Linked DNA regions of Xenopus tropicalis. The protein of the gene in region 1 interacts with the protein of each later gene in a pairwise test. Links are inferred from orthologs where the notes say so. Each region holds a gene or a part of one and is shown in the gene's direction. Other genes may lie near its edges.

Region 1 (11,261 bases):
GAACTTTATTGACGTTATTGCATCATTATCATAAAAGTAAAAAAAAATGACTGCAGTCTGCTGTAACCCCCAGAATGATCTCTTATAATATGTCAGGTTTTCTGCTGTAGGGATGTGACTGGCTTAAAGCTGGCCATACACTAATAGATCTCCTTGCTGAGGTTGCCAATTAAGTAGTGGATCCTTGCTGTATTGAGCTGATCCAGTCGTTTAGCCCCCAAATCAGATTTTAATACGGACATGCTGGGAGAGACCTGCACGCCAAGGTTGTTCTTCCCCATCAGGATTTTGAAACTAGATGATAGATATCTGCCCAATTTTCGCCCTTATCTTGGGTGCCTGCCAGACCAATAAGCTGCTGGCTTGGCATGGAGAGAGCCAATCCAAGAGGTACTAGCACCCAAGGCAAGTACCTTTTGTCTTCTCCTATTCCATCAATTCCCACCCATTTGCCACTACAGTCCCCTCTCATGTTCACCCTTCCTTCACCTGTAGCCTTGTCCTGATCGCCCATTTAGAAACTTACATACAGGGTGGGCTTAGGGCAACAAAAATGAAGGGACAATTTAATCATTTTTTTTTATTTTGCACCCCCTTTTAGAGCATTAGCCGAATGCTTTCTCTGCCTACCCCAAATTCCAGCTCTGAATAATTTATTAGCCCAGGTATGGCCATAACTCTTTTATGCATGAAGAGAAGAAGGGAGTTGCCCAAACTGCTGGAACTTTGCAATGAAACTGATTCTCAGTTATGTCAGAATAGCCTTTAATAGGAGGATGAGAATTTCAGAGTGGAATGTCTATCTGGAATGAGTTAGATATAATCAGTGAGATAAAGTTTTAAAATATACACCATGAATAACCTGAACACTATATCCTATAACTCTGCTTAGTGATGTCATTGGTTGTAACACTGCTTAGTGATGTCACTTGGGCACATGACTTATTGAAACCCTGCACTGTACGCATCAGTATTACGCCTCACATCCCAGAGAGCTTAGCTATTTATTTTATGTCCTAGTGAGATCTTTGCACCCTGTTAGGCTGCAAAATGAGGGACAATCTTAATAGGTGAGAATAATATAGATATGAAGTGAGTCTCCTGATTGCCTTGTTTGGGATATCTCATGCAGCGCAGATATAACACCCGCAGCCGTGCCTTTCTGACAGCCTTTAGAGCGCACCAGATAGCCGATCCCAAGTGGCCTTGTCACATCTGTCATGGAAAGTGTGGCGTAGCTTTCCAAGCCATCTCAAGCATTTTGTTTTGCTTTGTTTGATAAGTGAACTGTTTGCTGTGGTGCGTTCTATCTTGTGTCACTCCTCACCTCTGAGCCATACGGCATTGGCCTACTCTATGGTTTCTGGGGTGTAGTTTTCCTCTCAGCAACTTTTTCATGGGATAAAAACCAAGGGAGAAACATAAGGGATTGCACTCAGGTGAAGAACATTAAGCCATTTGCTATGACTCCTTAGCAATTTCCAGCCTGTCTCTATAAGTTTTTGCCATTGGCACCTCTTTGCCACCTTTCTAACTACCATATTTTTCTACATGCAGCCATCATTTCTCTTTTTGTATCGTAAAGGGAACCTAAAACTCGCTCTTTGTTAACAGATATTTTATTTAAATGTAACTTTAATCCACCATGGAACTGGCTGAAGATTGTTGGTTCCTGCCCAGCATTCAGTTCTTGATCTCTGATTTTCATTACAGACTGTGGATTGAATGTTCACAAGCAGTGTTCCAAGATGGTTCCGAATGACTGCAAGCCAGACTTGAAGCATGTTAAGAAAGTTTACAGTTGTGATCTGACCACATTGGTAAAAGCACACAACACGAAAAGGCCGATGGTCGTGGATATGTGTATAAGAGAAATAGAGTCTAGAGGTGAGACTTGTCTTATACATTGGGGCTATTGCTTGGTTCTAGGATGAATTATTGGAGTTAATATTTTGATGTCATGCATGGGGGAAGGGGGGCCTTGCATCCAATATCAGCCTAGAGCATTTGGCTTTAATTATTATAATACAACATCAAGAGAAAATACATCTGTGCCAAGCCACTACAATACTCTAGCAAAGGGCATATTGGCATATTATTTTAGGCAAGGCAAAGGGCCAAGGAGCTGGGATCTGTCGAGCAGAATTTGCAATTTACATTAAAGGGGTTGTTCAGCTTCAGAGACCCCATTTAAAGCTGGAATCATTCAGATGAGGAAGCCAAAAAAAAGAAGAAATAAAGGCCAGTTGAAAAGCTGCTAAGAATTGGCCAATGTATAACATACTAAAAGTTAACTTAAAGGTGAACTACCCCTTTAAAAATGGGAAAGAGTGCACATGTAGGCCATTTATTAAACAGGGTCAGTCAGAAGGACTAATGGAAGATCCCACATGCAAATAAAACAGGCACATTGCAAATGAAATTTGCCAACAAGTTAATTGCTTAAAATCTCAAGTGATTCTATTCTGGGTTAGCCAAGTGATGTCCAATATAATTTGACCTTAATACCCATGCGCTTGCCTATTGAATGGAAATGATACAGTGCGTTGCATCAGCAGTCTCAGGGGAAGGTGCCACATATAGCTTGATGTGTAGCTGGGGACCGAGAGGGAGGGTAAAGCTGAAGGAGACTACAGGTCAAGGTAACCTTTAAGCAGCAAGCTGAGGGCCCTGCTACACTATAATGAGCTATTAGAGTTCTACTGTGGGATAATAAGCAAGTTGGATATGGAATGGCTGTTTCACCCATCTGATATTCTTTTATTATAGGTCTCTCGTCAGAAGGATTGTACAGAGTATCAGGTTTTACTGATCTAATTGAAGATGCCAAAATGGCTTTTGACAGAGGTAGGAGAACCTTTACTTTATTTTGGCCTATCATTATTTCTACTCAAACAGCAAGTGTTCCCTTGCTTCCATGCAAATACTGTATGTAAAGTGACATGAAAACTCAGCTGGCCTGGATCCCCACTATATTAGTGCCTGCCTCTATGGACTTTATGAACAGAAGGTCAACCTTTAACCTTGAACAAATGCAGAATTCTACTGCCCCTCCCAAACACTCCCTCCAAATGATCTGTATTACTTGGGTAGCCTGCACAGTGACCTCAAACATTCCCCCAGAGTAAAGGATTGCAGCCTCCATATTGGGAAAAGGTCCTGTCTTCTGGGCTCCTTGAGCCTGCTCTTATTGCAGCTAGGGCTAACAGTTGTCCTTAGCTTTCAAATGCACACGTTTTCAAACACAACATATAAGTAATGTTCAATGAGGAATGTTTGAAACGGTGTGTATTTGGAAGCCATGCTTCCCTGTTTGCTCTAGCTACTATAGGAGCAGCCTAAAGGTAGGCAAGAGTGATGCAGAGGCTACTCCCAATACCTTTATATCACTGTTTATACAAAGCTGGCCCAGGACAAACATACAAACCCCTTGCAGGTAGCACCCAGGCTGGAACTGAGCTCAGAACCCAAATGCTGCAAAGTAGAAGTTCTTATTCCTAATAAATTATGAAGAACTTGAGAATTCCCCTGTGTTGTCAACCACTGCCAAAAAGCATTACATGTATTTATACTAAGCCAGCTTCTAGTATAAGTAAGTACAAGGTACATAGGCGATAAAACTAAATTCTCTGTGTTCCTGAAGGAACCTTTGTTTTTTTGCCAACATAAAAATTTCTTTCAAATTGCAGACATTCAGCCACCATGATACTCCACCATACACCGCAAGCATTAATTTCATCTCTATTTCCTTTCTACAGATGGGGAGAAGGCTGATATTTCTGTGAATGTATATGAAGACATCAACATTATAACCGGTGCACTGAAACTATATTTCAGGGAACTTCCAATCCCAATCATTACATATGATGCCTACCCGAAATTCCTAGAGTCTGCAAGTAAGTACACATGAGAGCTGCCTGCTGTTAGCAAAGCAGTTTTTTATATTCATATAGATTCATATTTCCAATGCTTTTAAGTTAACCCTATCAATTATGTCTATTTTGGCTCAGGGCGTACTTTGCCAATCCAATGTTCACTATAACCTTCCATGTCACTTTAGTTAATAAAACCTTCCATATGACCCACTTGCTCTGCATGTCCCACGTCAGCACATTCGCAGTATGGCGTTTCTGACATCAGATGAATATATACATAATAAATGATTGTAGAGTGCATGTCTGTAGATAACATGAGAGGATATGGGGCTGGGAGTGGTCTGTGCAATCCCATGACTAGAGCAATATTAGTGCTGGCATATACAAAAATAAATGGGGTTATGCCTGGCCTTTCTGCATCAGTGTTCTACAGGTATTTTATGCCAAAACATAACGTCTATACAGTAGTTTTTGGCCTTAAAGCACAGGCTTGATTAGTCACATAATGTGCTCCCTCTAGTGGTGAATAGGAATATCACATCTGACCACTTATATAATGTCTTTGCATTTGCTATAGGTATACTATCATTTTACATCATTATATAAGTGATTATAGTGATTCCCTTTAGCAGGCAAGATCTGTGCCCCTAAAGATGCCCCAGTAGCTCCCCATCTTCTTTTCTGCTGGTTCACTGCACATGCTCTGTGCTGCTGTCACTTACTGAGCTTAGGGACCCACTCACAATATACTGTATAAACAGAATATAAATGTCACAATATAATGCTGATTAGTAATTCATTCACATTGAATGGCAGTTTAGAAACCAGTGCAGTTGCATCAGAATTTAATCATCAGACCTGTAGCATCAGTTTATAGTATCCAAGATTTATTGCTCATGTGACAACTGTAAAGACCTATATAATTACTAATATAGAGATGCTAGTGCAGTCAGTTTAGTAAATCAATTATGCTCTTTCTAGCCATATTTACTTTTAGGATTTAGCTCTCCTTTAGGGCTAAAAAAAACAACTTTTTAAATGCTTCTTAGTTACTGTATTTTAGAGCTTTCTGAATAATGGGTAAAAGCTCCTAAGGTTTCATGAACACCCGATAGCCAGGTTCTCCAGCCTGCCCAATCTATGCATTGCTTGTAATTCATGGCCCAACACACAGTAGGGTTATCATTAGAATAACCATCTTCCTTATTATTTTCATGCAACGTAATCTCTGTGTATGTTTGTTCTGCCAGAGGCTCCAGACCCTGATGCACAACTAGAAACCCTTCATGACGCTTTGAAGCTGCTGCCTCCAGCTCACTGTGAAACACTACGGTATCTCATGGCCCATTTGAAAAGGTAAGTTCTCTTATACTGTAGGTGTGTTCTGTTTATACTCACACAGCCCTATGGTAATGATACACTGTTATATTGCCATTCTGCCAGGCAGTTACTGTAGGGGGCACGCATGCATCACAGCCATGGGCACACACAGAGCATTAGCTGGGATATTAGCTCAATCTGCCAGTCAGGGTGTGATGTGAGCTCAGTGTCAGTCTGTGCATGTAGAGAGGCAGCCTGTAATTGGCCAGAAGCTTGTCATTATCAGCCTTTTATTGATTCAGAACCATATAAGAGAAACAGAGGCATTTTTCTTGTGTGATTCTGCCTGATAGCTGTAGTTGTAGCCAGGGTTCCAAGTTTCTCTACTCATTTAGTGGCCAGTTATACACACACACACACACACACCTACACCTGAAATTTACAACACAGTAGTGGAAGGCCATAGTACTTGCCCACTTGGAATGACATTTGTTTCTGCTCATCATGAGTGGAATATATATATAGATTTGATAGAGAGAAGTCATGTAGCTGTGTAGCAGTGTCTGGGTGTGTGTTTCCTGCTGCAACAACCCCCTGGAGGTGACAAACCAAGGACACCATTGGCACATCCAACCACAGGCCATTATGAATATAAAAGAAGCTGATAATTTAAGTTTTTGCAGTCATAAGCCAGTTAATATATTTTGTTAGCTTTTTTGTCAGTTAATGGGGTGTTTACTGTCCTTTTACAGGGTATTATGACTGCCTAAATCTCTCCCATCGTTGTAGCAATTTGTAACTCAAAGCCACATTACATTAATGACTTGCTCTAATTAAAATGAAAATGTGACACATCATATCACCAATAAAATGTCAGCCATAAGGCATCATGGGCTGAAAAAGCTAAAACTTGTCTGTGTTTGTCCTGCCCTTGTGCAATGTTCCTCCAGGCGTCCATTGGACTGAACTGAATCTGTGCCTTTGCTACACGTCATGTGACATTCATTTTAATTAATGAGACAGGCCCTGAGAAATTAAAAAGCCAAAACTATCAGCAGGGGGTGCGTGGGATTTGCTATTACAGGAATGCCCTTCGGATAGGTCACACTGATCCCATGCACTGTCTCTCCTCACAGGGTGACTCTACATGAGAAGGACAATTTAATGAGTGCAGAGAACCTTGGTATTGTGTTCGGCCCAACTCTCATGCGAGCCCCGGAACAAGATGCCATGGCGGCACTGAATGATATCCGTTATCAGCGGCTCGTGGTGGAGATGCTGATCAAGAACGAAGACATTCTATTTTGAATATAATCAGGAAGAAACCATTTTTGAGATGAATAACGTTAATAAATGAAGGATAGTTTTGCAACATAGCGAGCAGTTTGTTTCCAGGCGAGTCCCTAATTTCCTATGTGTACAGCGTGCAGAAAGGACAGGCTTTTTGTTGTGGCAATCAGATGTATATTGTATAAATCGGGAAGCTCCTCTACTATTACTGCATTGTGTTTACAGTGTAACCACTTCCACAGGATTGCATGATTCTCTCCGTTTTTGTCGGGGATTTCCTTGGAAAAACAAAAACTATCTAGGAAAAAAAAGCCTCTTTCCAAGCGGGTAGTGAATGTAATACGGCATGTTTCTTCCTCCCCCGTGTAACTTGGCCTTTCTGTTCTGCCCAATCAGATTACAGCGTTGAGTTGATCTCATGAATGACTTTTTTTGCTCATTTCACTTCTGTTCTTGCTTTGATGATTGTTTCTTTTTTGCCAAGTTTCTGTATCGTTTGGAAGAGGAAACCTGTGAGTTGTGAATGTTTTATTCCCTTTCCGTGTGGTGCTTGTGATTAAAATGGCAACGATTATTATTTTTTTAATTGTATTTTTGTATTTTTCAACCAGCATGCATGTATTAATTTATTAAATCTAGGTTTTAGAAACCTTTTCTTCTGTGTCTTATTTAGCTTTAAGCAAAGCTTGTTCTGTTATAGCAGCAACACTTAGCACAGGGGGTCTGGGAAATGTCTCCAAATAGTCTCCATTTCCTCTAGAAATGAGCAAATAGCAATGCAGAACTTTGTGGAAGTGGAAGATCTTCTAGTATATCTTGTAGCTATCTCCTGGTATCCTGGTGGGCCACCCTGACTGCGCTGAAGGCTTAATGCATTCTTTCCTGTTTCAGCACAATAATCTCCCATTCACAAAGCAAGGTCCATTCAGAGTTGGGTTTGTTGCGATAGGAGTGGTAGAACTTGTTTAAACTGTACAGAGGCCTGACCTCAAGCCAAATGAATACCCGTGGGATGAACTGAAATGCCTACTGTCACCTTAGCCTGATTCCCAACATCAGTGCCCATCCTCACTAAATCTCTTTGGCTGAATGGTAGGAAACAGCACCTACAATGGACTGACTACATATTACTGAACATGCAGATGTCTGGATACCTTTGGCCATAGAGTGCATCTTGTTTAGAGAAAATGTTTTAAAAAAATATTTAAACACTGCTGCTCTTTAGACTTCTATGAAAATGTGGGTCTTAAACATCTGATCTGCAGTTACAACTCTGGTAGTGTGGCCTTAAAGGAGAAAGAAAGCTAAAAAGTAAGCTTTATCAGAAAGGTCTATGTAAATACAGCCATAAGCACTCACAGAAACGCTGCACTGACTTCCTGTGCCAGAGACACACAGCTCTCTCCCCTCTCCTGCTCCCCCCTCCCTCAAGAATGCTAAGAACTCCCTCCCCCCCTTAGGAATGTGGATCTGAGCCAATCAGCAGGACGCTGACTCATAGTCTTACAAACTAAGCATGTACACTGGTCTGGGTGTCTGTGCAAGAGTGAGGCATTATGGGAACTTTCTTTACACAGCTCAGCGTTTTTTCTTCCTGTTTGGCTTCTGGTCATCTGAACAGGAGAAATATGGGACTTAAGCTGGCCATACACCAGCAGATCCGCTCGCTTGGCGATGTCGCCAAGCGAGCGGATCTTCCCCCGATATCCCCACCTACGGGTGGGCGATATCGGGGACCATTTAGGTAAAAAAAATAATAATCCGATCGTTTGGCCCTGGGGCCAGACGATCGGATTATGTGGGCGGCAATGGGGCAGTCGGATCGGCTCGTTGATGCGGTCCCCGATCCGACCAGATTTTCTAACCTGGCCGATCGAGATCTGGCCAATTTCAGGCCAGATATCGGTCGGCCAGGCCGATCTGCTCTCCCCATACACGGGCCGATTAGCTGCCGAATCGGTCCAAGGGACCGATATCGGCAGCTATAGTCGGCCCGTGTATGGCCACCTTTAAGGGCACTATTGAGACAACTGAAGGTATGCCTGCAGCTTGAGATTAACTCTTTACTAGCCTTTCCTACTAGCTAATGGCACACAGCTCATTTTCTGCAAAAATGTATACATTAGCGTTTCTGCTCCAAATTCTTATTCTTAGGGGCTGATTTACTTACCCACGAACGGGTCGAATGGAGTCCGATTGCGTTTTTTTCGTAATGATCGGTACTTTGCGATTTTTTCGTATGTTTTGCGATTTTTTCGGATTCTTTACGAATTTTTCGGATCCAATACGATTTTTGCGTAAAAACGCGAGTTTTCCTATCCATTACGAAAGTTGCATAAAAAGTTGCGCATTTTGCGTAGCGTTAAAACTTACGCGAAAAGTTGCGCATTTTTCATAGCGTTAAGTTTTGTTCGTTTTCAAGTCGGAACTTTTCCAATTCGGGTCGGATTCGTGGGTTAGTAAATCAGCCCCTTAGTGTCCAAAATACTGCTACTAATTGTATAGCCACCCAGGCCACTCCATGGAGAGTTGATAGGGCTGAAACTTGGTCTTTCAGAGTTGCTGCCCTTAAACCATTGTCCATGTACTCTTAAAGGGAAACGAAAGTCAAAGTCACTTGGGGGTGCCAAAATGTTAGGCACCCCCAAGTGACTTTAACCGCTTACCTCGTACCCCGGGCTGGTGCCCCTGTTAGGAGAAAACAGCACCAGCCCGGGGCACCTGGAGCGCAGCGCTTCCGTCTTCCTCGCTTCCTTTTCCTGAGTGCCAGCGGTGGGCGCATGCGCAGTAGAGTGAAAAGCCGACTTTAACATTTAAGTTCGGCTTTTCACTCTACTGCGCATGCGCGCGCAGCGAATCAGGAAAAGGAAGCGCCGGCAGCTACCCCGGGCTGGTGCTGTTCCTTCCTCACAGGGGCACCAGCCCGGGGTAAAAGGTAGGCGGTCAAAGTCACTTGGGGGTGCCTAACATTTTGGCACCCCCAAGTGACTTTGACTTTATTTTTCTTTTAAAGAAATTCCACAACAATCATTTGCATGAGTACTGATTCACATACACCAATTTACAGATATTCCTCAGTTTCACATATTTTAAGAAACTGAGGAATATCATACTTTCCACTAGCAATGTTGATTAATCTTTATAATTTGGACCTTCATGTTTAGTTATTTGATCTCAATGCTGCCAGCTTTCACTTATCTAAGTTGGGCCATATGAGAGGCCCCTAACTTAAATTCTCAGCTGTGATGACAGTTAGGAAGGTGGAAGAACTGCTACATTGAATACCTTGGGAAACCAGGGTCTTCACCCAGGTAGGTTTATAATGACTTCTGATTTCTGTCCTCAGTTATCTTCATTACATATCTGCTAGTTACCTACTAGAGCAAAATGTTGGATGTTTATTTGGGGCACACTTCTCCCAACATAAACATGTCACAGTTCATCAGCAAACATGGTTATGATTTGTCCCTTCTTCAGGGCTTCCAGGGTAATTCTCACACTCTGGAACCTTTCCCTGGGGATTCTCGACATCCCCAATGGTTTTCACACATCCAAAGTGACTCTCACACTCGTGAATACTCGGGCTACTCACTCAGCCCTGCTGTCTCTCCCCTCCTGAGATACCAGCTCACCAGTTTCTGGCACACTTTGGCTTCCCACCAAGCCACTCAACACATGGTCATGGCTCCCTCTGCTCCTTGCAGTGGCAGGCAATACCCCCAGCCCCTCTGGGAGTTCCTCACACAGTCAGGCAGCCTTTCTGCCCTGTGCCCCACTCTGAGAGACCTTTTCTCTGTGTGACCTTTCACGTGAGTGTTCAACATTTGTCTGGGTGACTCCTCACTTGGTTACGGCTCCCTCTGCTCCTTGCAGTGGCCAGTGGCACCCCTAGCCCCTCATTAACTTTCTGTAAAGGTACTGTATCAAACACTTTAGCAAAGTCCAAGTAGATGACATCCATTGCCATCCCAGCGTTAAGGTTCCTGCTCACCTCCTCATAAAAGGCAACTAAATTAGTCTGGCAAGATTTGTTACGTATAAAACCATGCAGGCACAAACTTAGAATATTGTGATTTGCAATGTATTCAAGTACCCTATCCCTTATTACCCCTTCCAGAAGCTTTCCTACTACTGGTGTCAGACTAACAGGCCTATAGTTTTCAGGCTGAGAACAGGATTCCTTTTTGAATAACGGCACCACATTAGCAATCCGCCAGTCTCTCGTCACCATGCCAAACCTCAATGAATCCTGAAAAATTAAGTAAAGGGGTTTGGCAATCACAGCGCTCAGCTCATTTAATACCCTGAACCTTATTCCTATGTCCCGGACCTTTTGTTACCTTTACATGTTCAAGTCTCTTTTGAATTTCCTCCTGAGCGACCCATGCATCAGTAGTTATATTACTAGAATTGGGTCTATTAAAAGGGAAACCGTCATTAGCTGGCTCCTCAGTTGTGTAGCCGGAAGAAAAATAAGAATTCAGAATTTCTGCTTTTTCTTTGTTCTCATCAACCAACTGACCCCGAGATAATAAGGGTCCCACCCCTTGTCGTTTCATTCTTTACTATTTGCATATTGAAGAAATAATTTTGGATTTTTTAAAATACCTTTTTCAATACCCCTTACCCCTTGTAATACCCCTTTCCATCTCTATTTTAGCTTGCTTGATAGCTTTTTTGCATGCTTTATTTGCTTCCTTGTACCTGATGAACGTTTCTGCTGTCCCAGCTAACTTGAATGCTTTAAAAGCACGTTGTAAAGTTATATTAATAATC
Region 2 (12,307 bases), on another chromosome or scaffold:
TTCAAATAAAATAAAAAACATTTTGGCATAGGGTGGCATTACAAAATCGTCATTTGAAGATTCTCTAGTGTAAATGCAAATTTAATGTCAAATATGTTTTAATGCCCACTTTTGCCCCCCCATCAGCTGTGCCCTAAATTGGATTGATTTAATGCTATACAGTGGACCAACGGACTGTTGATTTGATCAGTAAAGTCAGCATTGGTACCATATGGGTATAAGGCAGAAAAAATGCATCATCTTTTTTCCCCCTATAACAATATCAGCTACACCCCAGGCTTTACCACACTGCTAATCAGAACTTATATCTACAGCTGATACGGATATGTTCAACTTGAACGCCCTTCTTAACTGCACTTTTCTGTGGTTTTTCAGGCACAAATCATGTACTTGCAAACTCTCCTCTTACGCAGACTTCTCCAAAGTGTCAGTCCCACTTGGCTGCCATGTCGATGGCTGGGTGGTGGTGAAATGAGTCCAAGCAAGCTTGTTCGTCACTGGCAGAGCATATTTCATGATCATGGAGTGCCGGAGCCTCAGGAATCCAGTGAGATACTTATAGCACATGCCCTGGGATCCAAAACCGTGAGTTGGACAGTCAGACATGCACGTCCCTAAGCATCAGCATGAGTTTCTATATCTGCTAAAGCAAAGCTAACACTGAGCTAAGAAACTCCAAATGAATCCTCTGTATTACCAGTCACTCATTCTAATAGCTTCCTTAAAGTGTTTTTAAAGGGTTAATATACTTTCCATTTAAAGGCTAGCTATTAACAAAGAATTAGGCTTCATATATTGTTTCTTAATTTACCAGCTAGCAATGAAGACCTGTGCCTCCATAGATAGGCCCAACATTTTTTACATATCTTTTTTTTCTATTGAGGCACAGCAAATGCACAGCCTGCTTTACGCTAATGTATATCAGCAGTATGGAGGGAGTTATGCTTAGTATCCGGTGAAGAAAATGCATTTTTTTTCTATGTATTGTATATAATTACTTTAAATAATAAGAAAGGGTCAGTGTTACTAATCAGTGCAGAAGCAAACACTTATTTTGAACTGTGCTGCAGGGATTATGATTAATTGTTCCAATGCACACTGGTGACTGCACGGATTTCTCTGCAGCTGTGCTTTGCACATCTGAACTAATTCCAATAAGCCCTGCGGCATGTGACTTACACAGGTGACTGGTTTAGAACTATAGAATGCCAAATTATTCCATTTAAAGTGAACACCAAGTATTTATGTTGCACAGCCAATTCAGTATAAATCTGCACACCACATTGCTGCACAGAAACCAGTACATATATGGGACCTGTTATCCAAAATGCTCGGGACCTGGGGTTTTCTGGATAAGGGATCTTTCCATACTTTGGATCTCCATGCCTTAAGTCTACTAAAAATTGTTTTAACTTTAAATAAACCCAGCAGAATTGTCTTGCTTCCAGTAAGGATTAATTATATCTTAGTTGGGATCAAAATTACTTGATGAAAATGGAGTCTATGCGGGATGGCCTTTTTTCTGGATAATTTACAGATAATGGATTACGTCCCTGTACAGCCTTCAGCAACCAGCTGAACTCAGATAACAGATAAGTGGAATTAATAGGGAGAAATTTCAAATAAACCAGCCCAAAACCCATATATACAATATAATATACATATTTTTTTTTTATAAAGCACATATGGCACATTCTTGTTTTATAGGCAATTTGTCTCTTTTAAAATTAAACTTTTATAAAACATAGAAAATTATTTATTTTCCTGAGGGTGCTTGAATTAACATTTTGTCCTGCAGTTTCCCAGTATTTCATTTCAGCTTCTATGTGACTGGGGTCCCAGTTGTCCTAGCAACCAGGCACTGGATTGGAAGCCAGACTGGAAGATGAGTAGGAGAGGGTCTCTACAGACACAGTTGCAAAGAATCCGTTTCTGAATTTGAGCTCATACTGGGTAGCTGATTACCAGCCAGTCCTAATGAATGCTGCAGACTTTATTGCTTTCTAGCAGCTGAAGAAATCAATAATTAACCATGGAGTTTGTGTTTTTCAGGGCAATCCGTTTTAAACTGAAAAAAATTAAAATCAGATACCCATAAAATCCACATGCAGCAAGGCTAGTGATTAGGTTAAATGTGAGGTTGCATTGCTCTATAAGCTGCTTTGTAGAATACCATATCTCTTGCTACAGATATATATAAAATTTATTTTGTACTTCTGACATTTGCACACACTGAGCATGTGACCCTTGGGCAGGTACATTGTGGCCCCTACCGAATAACCAGTCAGCGAGTTTGTTTGCATGTATTCCATGCCTCCTTATGCTCTCTTTTGGAATGCTTCATGAACAGTATTTCTTTGTAAATGGTTTGTATTTACTCTCTTTCTTGCAGTTTCCAAGTCTCCCTCCTTCAGTTGCTCACACTTCTGTCTCTGTAGCTCAACTACGGCACATAGAGAGCATGGCCCAGCAGCGTTTAAAGAGGTAGGGAAAGACTCAATTGCAGAGTGACACATGACCACGTAACACTTTTTTACCAGGGGAACAGTAACTGTAACTGTTTCCTAAATCAAAATTGTGTAATGCCTTAAGCTGGCCATACACGCACACCATTGGTATTGTACAAAACGAGGTGCGTGTATGGAAGATCGACAAGACGACCAATATCGCAAAGGCAGCGGATATCTGTTGACCGGCCGGGTTAAAAGATTTTGATTGGGCGTCATTGAAGGTGCTGAATCAGAAGGTGGAGGTAGAATTCCTATTGTTTCTTCCTCCACATCTGACAATTCAGCCCTGAATGTCAGTGGGGGACATGATGGTCACAGGAAAGATCAGAATTGCTACGTGTATGGCCACGTTTAGGCAACCGTTTTCTCTGCCCCCAACAATACAATACATTTATAATGCTATGGGGGTCACTATAACATATTATTTCCATTTATATAGCTAACACATTTCCGCAGCGCTGTACAGAGATTATACATCATTCACACCAGTCCCTGCTTACAATCTAAGTTCCCTATCACATTTACGCACATTATGGTCCATTTAGTCAGAAGCCAATTAACCTGCCTGTATGTTTTGGATACTGGAGTACCCTGAGGAAACCCACACAGACATGGGGAGAACATAAACTCCTTGCAGATAGTGCCCTGCCTGGGATTGAAATTAGGACCCCAGCGCTGCAAGGCAGGCATGCTACTCACTGAGCCACAGGTCTGTTCAGAACTTAGATTGCACGATCTGTTGGGGAGGGTCTTCCTTTCTCTTTTGTTTCTTAATGCTTGGTACTAGGGAGCAAATTTAAAAAAAAAATAAAAAATTAACTCTTAGTAAAATTTACAGAATATTTATAAACCAGCTCCTAAGCCTTGAATGTAATTTACAGTGGAGGAAATAATTATTTGACCCCTCACTGATTTTGTAAGTTTGTCCAATGACAAAGAAATGAAAAGTCTCAGAACAGTATCATTTCAATGGTAGGTTTATTTTAACAGTGGCAGATAGCACATCAAAAGGAAAATCGAAAAAATAACTTTAAATAAAAGATAGCAACTGATTTGCATTTCATTGAGTGAAATAAGTTTTTGAACCCCTACCAACCATTAAGAGTTCTGGCTCCCACAGAGTGGTTAGACACTTCTACTCAATTAGTCAACCTCATTAAGGACACCTGTCTTAACTAGTCACCTGTATAAAAGACACCTGTCCACAGAATCAATCAATCAAGCAGACTCCAAACTCTTCAACATGGGAAAGACCAAAGAGCTGTCCAAGGATGTCAGAGACAAAATTGTAGACCTGCACAAGGCTGGAATGGGCTACAAAACCATTAGCAAGAAGCTGGGAGAGAAGGTGACAACTGTTGGTGCGATTGTTCGAAAATGGAAGGAGCACAAAATGACCATCAATCGACCTCGCTCTGGGGCTCCACGCAAGATCTCACCTCGTGGGGTGTCAATGATTCTGAGAAAGGTGAAAAAGCATCCTAGAACTACACGGGAGGAGTTAGTTAATGACCTCAAATTAGCAGGGACCACAGTCACCAAGAAAACCATTGGAAACACATTACACCGCAATGGATTAAAATCCTGCAGGGCTCGCAAGGTCCCCCTGCTCAAGAAGGCACATGTGCAGGCCCATCTGAAGTTTGCCAATGAACACCTGAATGATTCTGTGAGTGACTGGGAGAAGGTGCTGTGGTCTGATGAGACCAAAATAGAGCTCTTTGGCATTAACTCAACTCGCTGTGTTTGGAGGAAGAAAAATGCTGCCTATGACCCCAAAACACCGTCCCCACTGTCAAGCATGGGGGTGGAAACATTTTGCTTTGGGGGTGTTTTTCTGCTAAGGGCACAGGACAACTTATTCGCATTAACGGGAAAATGGACGGAGCCATGTATCGTGAAATCCTGAACGACAACCTCCTTCCCTCTGCCAGGAAACTGAAAATGGGTCGTGGATGGGTGTTCCAGCACGACAATGACCCAAAACATACAGCAAAGGCAACAAAGGAGTGGCTCAAGAAGAAGCACATTAAGGTCATGGAGTGGCCTAGTCAGTCTCCGGACCTTAATCCAATAGAAAACCTATGGAGGGAGCTCAAGCTCAGAGTTGCACAGAGACAGCCTCGAAACCTTAGGGATTTAGAGATGATCTGCAAAGAGGAGTGGGACCAACATTCCTCCTAAAATGTGTGCAAACTTGGTCATCAATTACAAGAAACGTTTGACCTCTGTGCTTGCAAACAAGGGTTTTTCCACTAAGTATTAAGTCTTTTTTTGTTAGAGGGTTCAAAAACTTATTTCACTCAATGAAATGCAAATCAGTTGCTATCTTTTATTTAAAGTTATTTTTTCGATTTTCCTTTTGATGTGCTATCTGCCACTGTTAAAATAAACCTACCATTGAAATGATACTGTTCTGAGACTTTTCATTTCTTTGTCATTGGACAAACTTACAAAATCAGTGAGGGGTCAAATAATTATTTCCTCCACTGTATGTTCCTTTGTTGTATCTTCCCTATTGATCTATTAATTATTATATATTGTTGAATGCACAGAGTTGTGTGTTCAAGTAACCGTATATAAATAGGTGTATACATACATAATGGCAACTGCTCCATCCAAAATGTGGCGGGCTCTTAAGCAACTAACTAGATTGGTTGCTTGCACTTGGTTACTGCACTGAGGCAGTTTTGCCTTGTGTTGCCTCTTCTTCAGCCATATGAAATGATCTCTTCTGTATTAGTGTTACAGAAACCATGTGTCTTATACAGTAGCATAGTATAAGAATTAGTTGTTATGGTAGCCATGCACTCTGCAGGGAGTCTAATTTGGGGACTAACAGGCAATCCAACTTGTTTTTGATGTGCAATTAATTTTCATGCACCCCCACAGATGCGTATGTTAATTGACGTCATTGTGCCCTTTGGGTCTCTACCCAAGGGAGTGGATATCAATCCGCAAATGGTTTACATAAATTTTTCCTGCATTCAGCGTAAATATATAATCCCCCTAGGTATCATATGTAAGAAGCAAGTAGAAACGTCTTTAGGTATGTACCCTAAAGCATTGCTTGCTTGGCACAGTTTTCTGAAATTGTTAATGTTATAAGGTAGACTCACAGGAGACCTAGGCGCACACGTCCTAAACCATCAGCATGGGAATTGGATTATCCAAATATTGCTTATTTAGAAGATTCCTATTTTAAACACTGGCCGTACATCAGCATGCATTTGCTTACATCATTGTTGGCTCATTTTTATTTCTGATCATTCCTTTCCAGGGTCCCTATTCAGTACGTTATTGGGGAGTGGGATTTCTTGGATATAACTTTACAAATGAGACCTCCTGTATTCATTCCAAGGCCTGAGACAGAGGTATGAAAGCACGATGCCATTATAACCTTATGTTTAAAGTACATGAATATTTAGTGAGACTTCCTGTTAATGTTATAGAAAGGGTATTGAGGATAATTCAGTAGAAAAAGATAATTGGAATATGATACATTAAATTGAAACCATTGTAACAGCAGAGCCCTGAAATTACTTCAACCTAAAGGGACAAATAGGCAGCCGTGTGTTCTCTGTAACACAGACATATGGCACCCCAAGCCATACACACACAGTGCTTCTTTAGTTTATATTTACAGTGCACATTTATGTCTATAAATACTGAATCAATTACAAGACCAAAGATATATAGTCCCTCCTACATAACAGTGAACTGACTTTTAAGCCTTTTGTTTCAGGAACTGGTCGGCCTTGTCCTGGGAGCAAGCAGAAGGTTGCAGTGTTCCGCAGAGCCTCTAGTTCTGGAGGTGGGATGTGGTTCAGGGGCTGTGTCTTTGTCGTTACTACAGAGACTTCCTCAGGTAACAAAGTGTGGTTGAGCTCTGGATCTTGTAAAGCTTACATTTGCTAAAAATGAAGGACTTTAGATAGTCCTGTCTAGGGAGATAGTAGACATGTCTTGAGTTTTACATTTATGTTCCCTATGGATACTCTTCTCAGTGCTTTGAACATGGGGAATTCCATAAGAAAGCTACAGTGGTTTCCAGATGTTTTTTTGCCCCATTTGAGGGGCAGTATCTGCTCAGAGCTTCTTCTAACAAGGATATAGATATATGAGAAGGTTACAGGTATATATATATATATATATATATATATATATATATATATAGTTGTGTCAGTCATCCTGCTATAGCTTATAGGAAAAAGGGCTGATCTAATGTTCTTCTGCTTAGGAAAGACAATAGAAACCTCAGACAACTTCCTAACCAGAAGAACATCCCTCTTTCTCTGGACAACTTCCTCAACTACTTCATGTTTGGAAAGTGACCAGCAGGTGTCGATGTTGTAACAAAATGTATTCATATTAACAGTCCTTTTAACCCTTAATATCTTGAAATTAAAAAAAAAAAAATATGTAAAGATGCACTCTCATAATTTTACATCAGCTTATTTGTAAAGGTTTACTTATCCTTTAAGGCTGGTGGTAGTGGCAGTAGCTTCAGGTTTCCTCTGCATCATTCATGTGTCTTTACATGGATTGGCTTTTTCCATGAAACTGTGTGTCCATTTTTGCCTAAAAATCTTCTCCTGTTTGCAGGCTCGCATAACAGCAATTGATAAAACTAAAGCAGCTGTCAAACTGACTGAGGACAATGCAGTAAGGTAAGAGTTAAAGCAGCTGTAGTAAACTTTTATAAAAAAATAAAAACCTATCAGTATTTACATAAAACTGGGATGACAGAGTATGTCAAAGACAGAAGCTACAGTGTACTGGGAAAAGAATGAGGGACTGGAACAACTGCAGGGAGTGGTGATGTCTAGCAGTGGGTTTAGGAGTGCTTACCACTTAACAGGAAGCATCTAGGCCAAGTAATGAAGAACTATGGAAGTTTTATGGAGCATTAGAAGGATTAACATTCAATGTACAGGTATAATACCCATTATCCCGAATGCTCGGGACCTGGGGTTTTCCGGATAAGGGATCTTTCTGTAATTTGGATCTCCATAATTTAAGTCTGCTAAAAATCTTTTAAATATTGAATAAACCCAATAGGATGGTTTAGCCTTCAATAAGGATTAATTAGTTGGGATCAAGTACAAGGTACTGTTTTATTATTACAGGGGAAAAAAATAGAATTATATGCTTATAATTGAGTCTATGGAAGATGACCTTTCAGTAATTTGGAACTTTCTGGATAACGGGTTTCCGGATAAGGGATCCCATACCTGTATTACCTTTATTATTTTTGTTACACTTGCTATGCATCTCCCAGAGCTTTGTACAATGAAAAAAGAAATGGTTTCCTGTAATTATGGGACATCCCTGCTTATTAAAGGGGAAACACAAGCAGGGACAGGTGAAACAAAAGGAATGTTAGGGAACAGCTGAAATTGTACTTTTGTAAATAGCATGCAAAGTGCTGCAGAGAGCACATCCACAAAGGGTTCAGTAACTTTCTACTGCATTATTATTACCTTGTGCCTTATACATAAGCGGGGGGGAAAGCGTGTAAAGCAGTCCTCCAAGAAAATAAAGACTATGGCATACTGCATTGCTGCACTGAGCCGCACCATCTCAGTACTGCCCAGCACGTGGCGAAGTGAAATGGTGATGGTGCCACAATCATGGACAGAAAGATTTAGTGTTATAGGTCTAGTGGTTTTTTTTGGAGTTTGCATAAACCTTAAGAGGTGGGAGTGAGTAACAGAGAAAGTGTGCTGCTCTCCAGTATTTTAGTTTTTTGAGAGGAAGAATGTTGTTCTGCATGAGATGAGTAGCATAGGTGCAAATTAAGACTGTATTTAGCCGTTAGACAGCTTTTATAATATGCTAGGAATTATCTCGCACACAAAGGTTATAGCCCTGGGCCTTGGTTACCACTAAGGAGGATCTCGTAGAATTGTCTCACACATTTTTTCTAGCGTTTTGTCTTTGCGTTTGTAACCCTTGCCAAAAATGCAGTTAAAAAACACTAGAAATTCCCCCTTGTGCCAATACTTTACAAAGACGAGACTGTTACGGCTCATTTAAAAAATGGGTGGAAGGTAAAGTGCAAAGTACAGAAAATTGGTGCATCTCATTATGTATTTGGAGCTGCTTATACTTGAAATCGATGCACAGAGGAGTCATTTTTATTATTGTCCTTTTATTTGTATAGCACTGATACAGTTATTCATTTATAACTTATTGAACTTGTGTAAACAAGAGGTATTCTGTTTATGGCCAGGTGGGTTAGACAAGTTTGCCTGCTCTCACACTTGTATCTACCCTTAATGAATTTGGTCATTAATAAGGAGGCATGGATAGGGGCATCTGGGCTCTGGTTAGACTTTAAATCAGGATTTATATTATTGTTTAAGGCTAATGTCACACGGGGCTGATTCTCGACTTGTGGATAAACGCAGGCCAAAAATCCGCCTTCCCCTGTGCCTGCACCCAGAGCCATTACATTTAGCCTTGTTGCAGGCACACAGAGTGGATTTCAGCACCGAGACGCAGTGAAAATGTTATTTGTGTGCTAAAAAAAAAAATTTCTATACAAACTTAAGCCAAATTAAACCCTTAACATATTTTTTTTCCCAACATTTTTAGCATGGTGAAACATTTCGGTGTAAAAAATATCTGTTAAAAAGGTTTGACAATTGTCGATAGTGGCTGACATTTTTGTGAATTCCCCCCTATATGTTTTAGATTAATTTCTTCTCCCAAGATTATTCCTTCAAGGCTAATCAGGTGTTACATTTCCAAAGCATCTTTTCTGACTGCACATACTTACAGTTTGGGGTTTTCATATGATCCAACTTTGCCTTTCTCTCTTCTCTATGGGAGGAAGCACTTTCTGCTTTTCCTCTTTTTACACTGCTATATTTTTTTAATTACTAATGGACATAGGTTTCCTACTCTCCACATAAAATAAGTTAAGTTATTCACCAAGCAAAACTGTGTAGCCAGTGAACGTAGCTAACCAAAAGGCTAAGCCGAGAGGCTCTCCAGCAGTGAGAGAGGTAGGGGGAGTATAATCCTTTAATGAGCAGCATGTGGCAATATTCCTGGTGAGAGGAATGCAGATGTAAAGGAAGGAGTTCTAGGAACCAGTTCTGTGGATCAAGTTAAGTACTTCTAAGAATGAACCATATGGAGAAATAAAAAAGGCTAGTAGAGAACAGAGGAAGTGGCTTTGTGGAGCAATAAGCGCAATAATCTATAGTAAGCCGCTGTATGAAATAGCAGAATATTTTTTATTGAGCAATAGGAAGCATGGAAGGGACAAGGTGTGATAATGTAATGAGAAGGAGTTCCAGGCAATGGTTTATGAGGTTTCTGGCGAATTCTGGGGAGGAAATGAGTATAGAAAAAAAAATATTGGAAATGTTTGCTGAAGCCTAACTCTTTCATTTCTGTCTCTAGTTTGGGCCTCCAAAACCAAATCCAAGTTCTGCTGCTTGATATTTTAGCAGGTAAAACATTTGTGTCTTTCTGTCCTCTTCTCCATCATGTTTTTCCCACCATACATTGTGACTCTGTTCTTCCCACCATAACAATTGGTATGTGGGGTTTCTTACAATCTTCTTCTTCAGATCCACCAGATCCTCTCCTCATGTGGGGCCCTGTGGATGTTTTGGTCAGCAATCCCCCTTACATATCCACATCTGATATCTCTCAACTTGATCCAGAGATTGTTAAGTAAGTATTGTACAGTCTCCTGGCCAGAACACCAGGCTCCGCACAGTCTGCTGGTTACACTCCATTTCTCCCTTTCAGATATGAGGACCATGCAGCATTAGATGGGGGTCCTGATGGCATGGATGTAATAAGGGGAATACTGTCTTTCGCACCTCGGCTTCTGAAGCCTGGTGGGTATGTAGTTTTCATTCAAGTCTGGGCTGAAGCTTTTCACTTTGTGTAAGAACACGTGTATGGCCCAGCAGTTCCCTCATGCTGTCTCCCTCTGTTTTAACAGGGATATTTTTCTAGAGGTTGATCCCAGTCACCCAGAGAGAATAAAGCTATGGATTCAAGACCACACTGATACGCACCTTCAGTACATTAGTACTGTACAAGACTTCTGTGGCAGGTACTGCAGTGCTCCAATCTGTTTTTCATGAGTACCTGGGCACTATTACTCCCTTCAAGCTTTATTATTACTTTCTATCTTACCTGTATGCAGTTATACTTTACAGGAGGCATGCAGGATTAACTAATGAATTGTATTCTTCAATATTTAGATGAGTACAATTCATTGGCACAGTATTGTGTTTCACACAATATTCCTCTTTAGAACAGTGGTTTCAGAGTTTCTTAGTTAAATTCCCCTGTTTACAGGTACAAATTGGACAAGGCTATGCAGCTGTAATAAGAAGGCCACAGATATATGAAACCATAGCTTAAACATCACCCTGAAATCATACTTGTGATGTCCAAGACAGCAAATCCACCATCATTGTACTTCCTACATCTGTATCCTATTCTAAAGCTTTGTTTTTTCCACAGGTCGAGGTTTGTACATTTACGCAGAGACTGAACCTCGCTTCATACGGTTCCTGCCATGATACATAAACTGAATTCCCTGATTCCCTGCATATCCAAACAAGGATGGTGCAATTCTTTCAGTAGTGGGTTGGATTTGTTAGACAAGTAGGCTCAGGATGGCCCCATATTACACAATGACTGCTTGCTGGATAAACTGAGACCCTGTGCAAATCCCAGTGTAGGATTTGGACCCATTAATGGGAATAATTAGCAGGGTCAAAGATACAACTGCCATGGCAGCTTTAGGCTAATGGCACGTGGGGTATTTTGATCTCTGCTGTAATCAGGAGGAAAATGGCTCATCATTGCCTATTACTTCTTGTAGGCTTTATTATGGCAGACCGGTGGTACATGGTTAAATAGGCGGCACACATACCAATATATGAGTGACGCAACAGCATAAATCATTGGAAAAGGCTGTCCTTCTGCTCCTCTACTGGAGCTATTTCAAGAATTATTTGATAATGGCTCATTGCTGGAGCTCTGTACAAAATGTACCCAGGGCGGAACACTCCATACTGCATCACTCATGCTCCTGGGAGGAAGCGCTGACACAGCAATGAGTCTGGGCAGATATTACAGAATGCAGCACAGCAAGGAACATAAGCTGAAAGCAGGGACAGTGAGAAACCTCTGTTAAAAGATAAATCACCAAGATTATTTCTTACCCAGAAATAGAATGTTACTTGGGTGACTTTCTCACCAGTACCAACGAGGGCATGCTCTTGTGGTGCTTCCCAGTTTAATGTGAAAACCTCCAATGGGCAACCTGACAGTTGTTGTAGTTTAATATTAACTGCAGAGACCCAGGTTGCTAAAGTCTATTGTATAAAGAGATTTATAGTAGGAAGCAGCCAGTCTGTCCAAACAAAATTAGAATCGGCAGTTGCCCTTTCCTGTTTTATTGTAGCCGCTACAGCTCCCAACTGCTGAACAGTGATATTCACTTAGTATGATGTACAAACAGTTAATTAAAAGGTGAACTACACCCTTTAACCAAACGATTACAAATCAGTGTGCATGTCTCACTTGAGGAACCAGGGTAAGTGACTAGCATATGCCAGTTTGTCTCCTGATATGGGCAATCTGTCTGCTTCTGTGGAAGTGGTGTGCTCTTATCTTTATTATATGTGTGTCTGCGGTTCTCATGGCCATGCCAGACTGGGCTAATAAGGAGGTGCATAATGGGGAGGTGTGAGGGCATAAGAACATAAGCCTTTTATTTCACCGAAATGCTGCCAAGTCAGGAAAACTTTTGT

Evidence for each region.
Region 2: the proteins of chn1 (region 1) and hemk1 interact in binary tests that used the Homo sapiens proteins (3 or more experiments, as listed by UniProt). The two-hybrid records come from large-scale screens. The link is inferred for Xenopus tropicalis from reciprocal best matches to the Homo sapiens genes CHN1 and HEMK1.

Annotation. Positions count from the first base shown.
Region 1 is NC_030685.2:64,273,873-64,285,133, reverse strand, and holds the end of chn1 (N-chimaerin), read left to right. Parts: intron 1-1,713; coding exon 1,714-1,887; intron 1,888-2,769; coding exon 2,770-2,847; intron 2,848-3,758; coding exon 3,759-3,896; intron 3,897-5,125; coding exon 5,126-5,231; intron 5,232-6,331; coding exon 6,332-6,503; 3' UTR 6,504-7,134; downstream 7,135-11,261. UniProt on the Homo sapiens protein: GTPase-activating protein for p21-rac and a phorbol ester receptor. Involved in the assembly of neuronal locomotor circuits as a direct effector of EPHA4 in axon guidance.
Region 2 is NC_030680.2:127,605,908-127,618,214, reverse strand, and holds part of hemk1 (MTRF1L release factor glutamine methyltransferase), read left to right. Parts: intron 1-375; 5' UTR 376-384; coding exon 385-585; intron 586-2,392; coding exon 2,393-2,484; intron 2,485-5,790; coding exon 5,791-5,884; intron 5,885-6,255; coding exon 6,256-6,378; intron 6,379-7,115; coding exon 7,116-7,180; intron 7,181-9,926; coding exon 9,927-9,976; intron 9,977-10,096; coding exon 10,097-10,202; intron 10,203-10,280; coding exon 10,281-10,376; intron 10,377-10,479; coding exon 10,480-10,593; intron 10,594-11,009; coding exon 11,010-11,040; 3' UTR 11,041-12,307. UniProt on the Homo sapiens protein: N5-glutamine methyltransferase responsible for the methylation of the glutamine residue in the universally conserved GGQ motif of the mitochondrial translation release factors MTRF1, MTRF1L, MRPL58/ICT1 and MTRFR.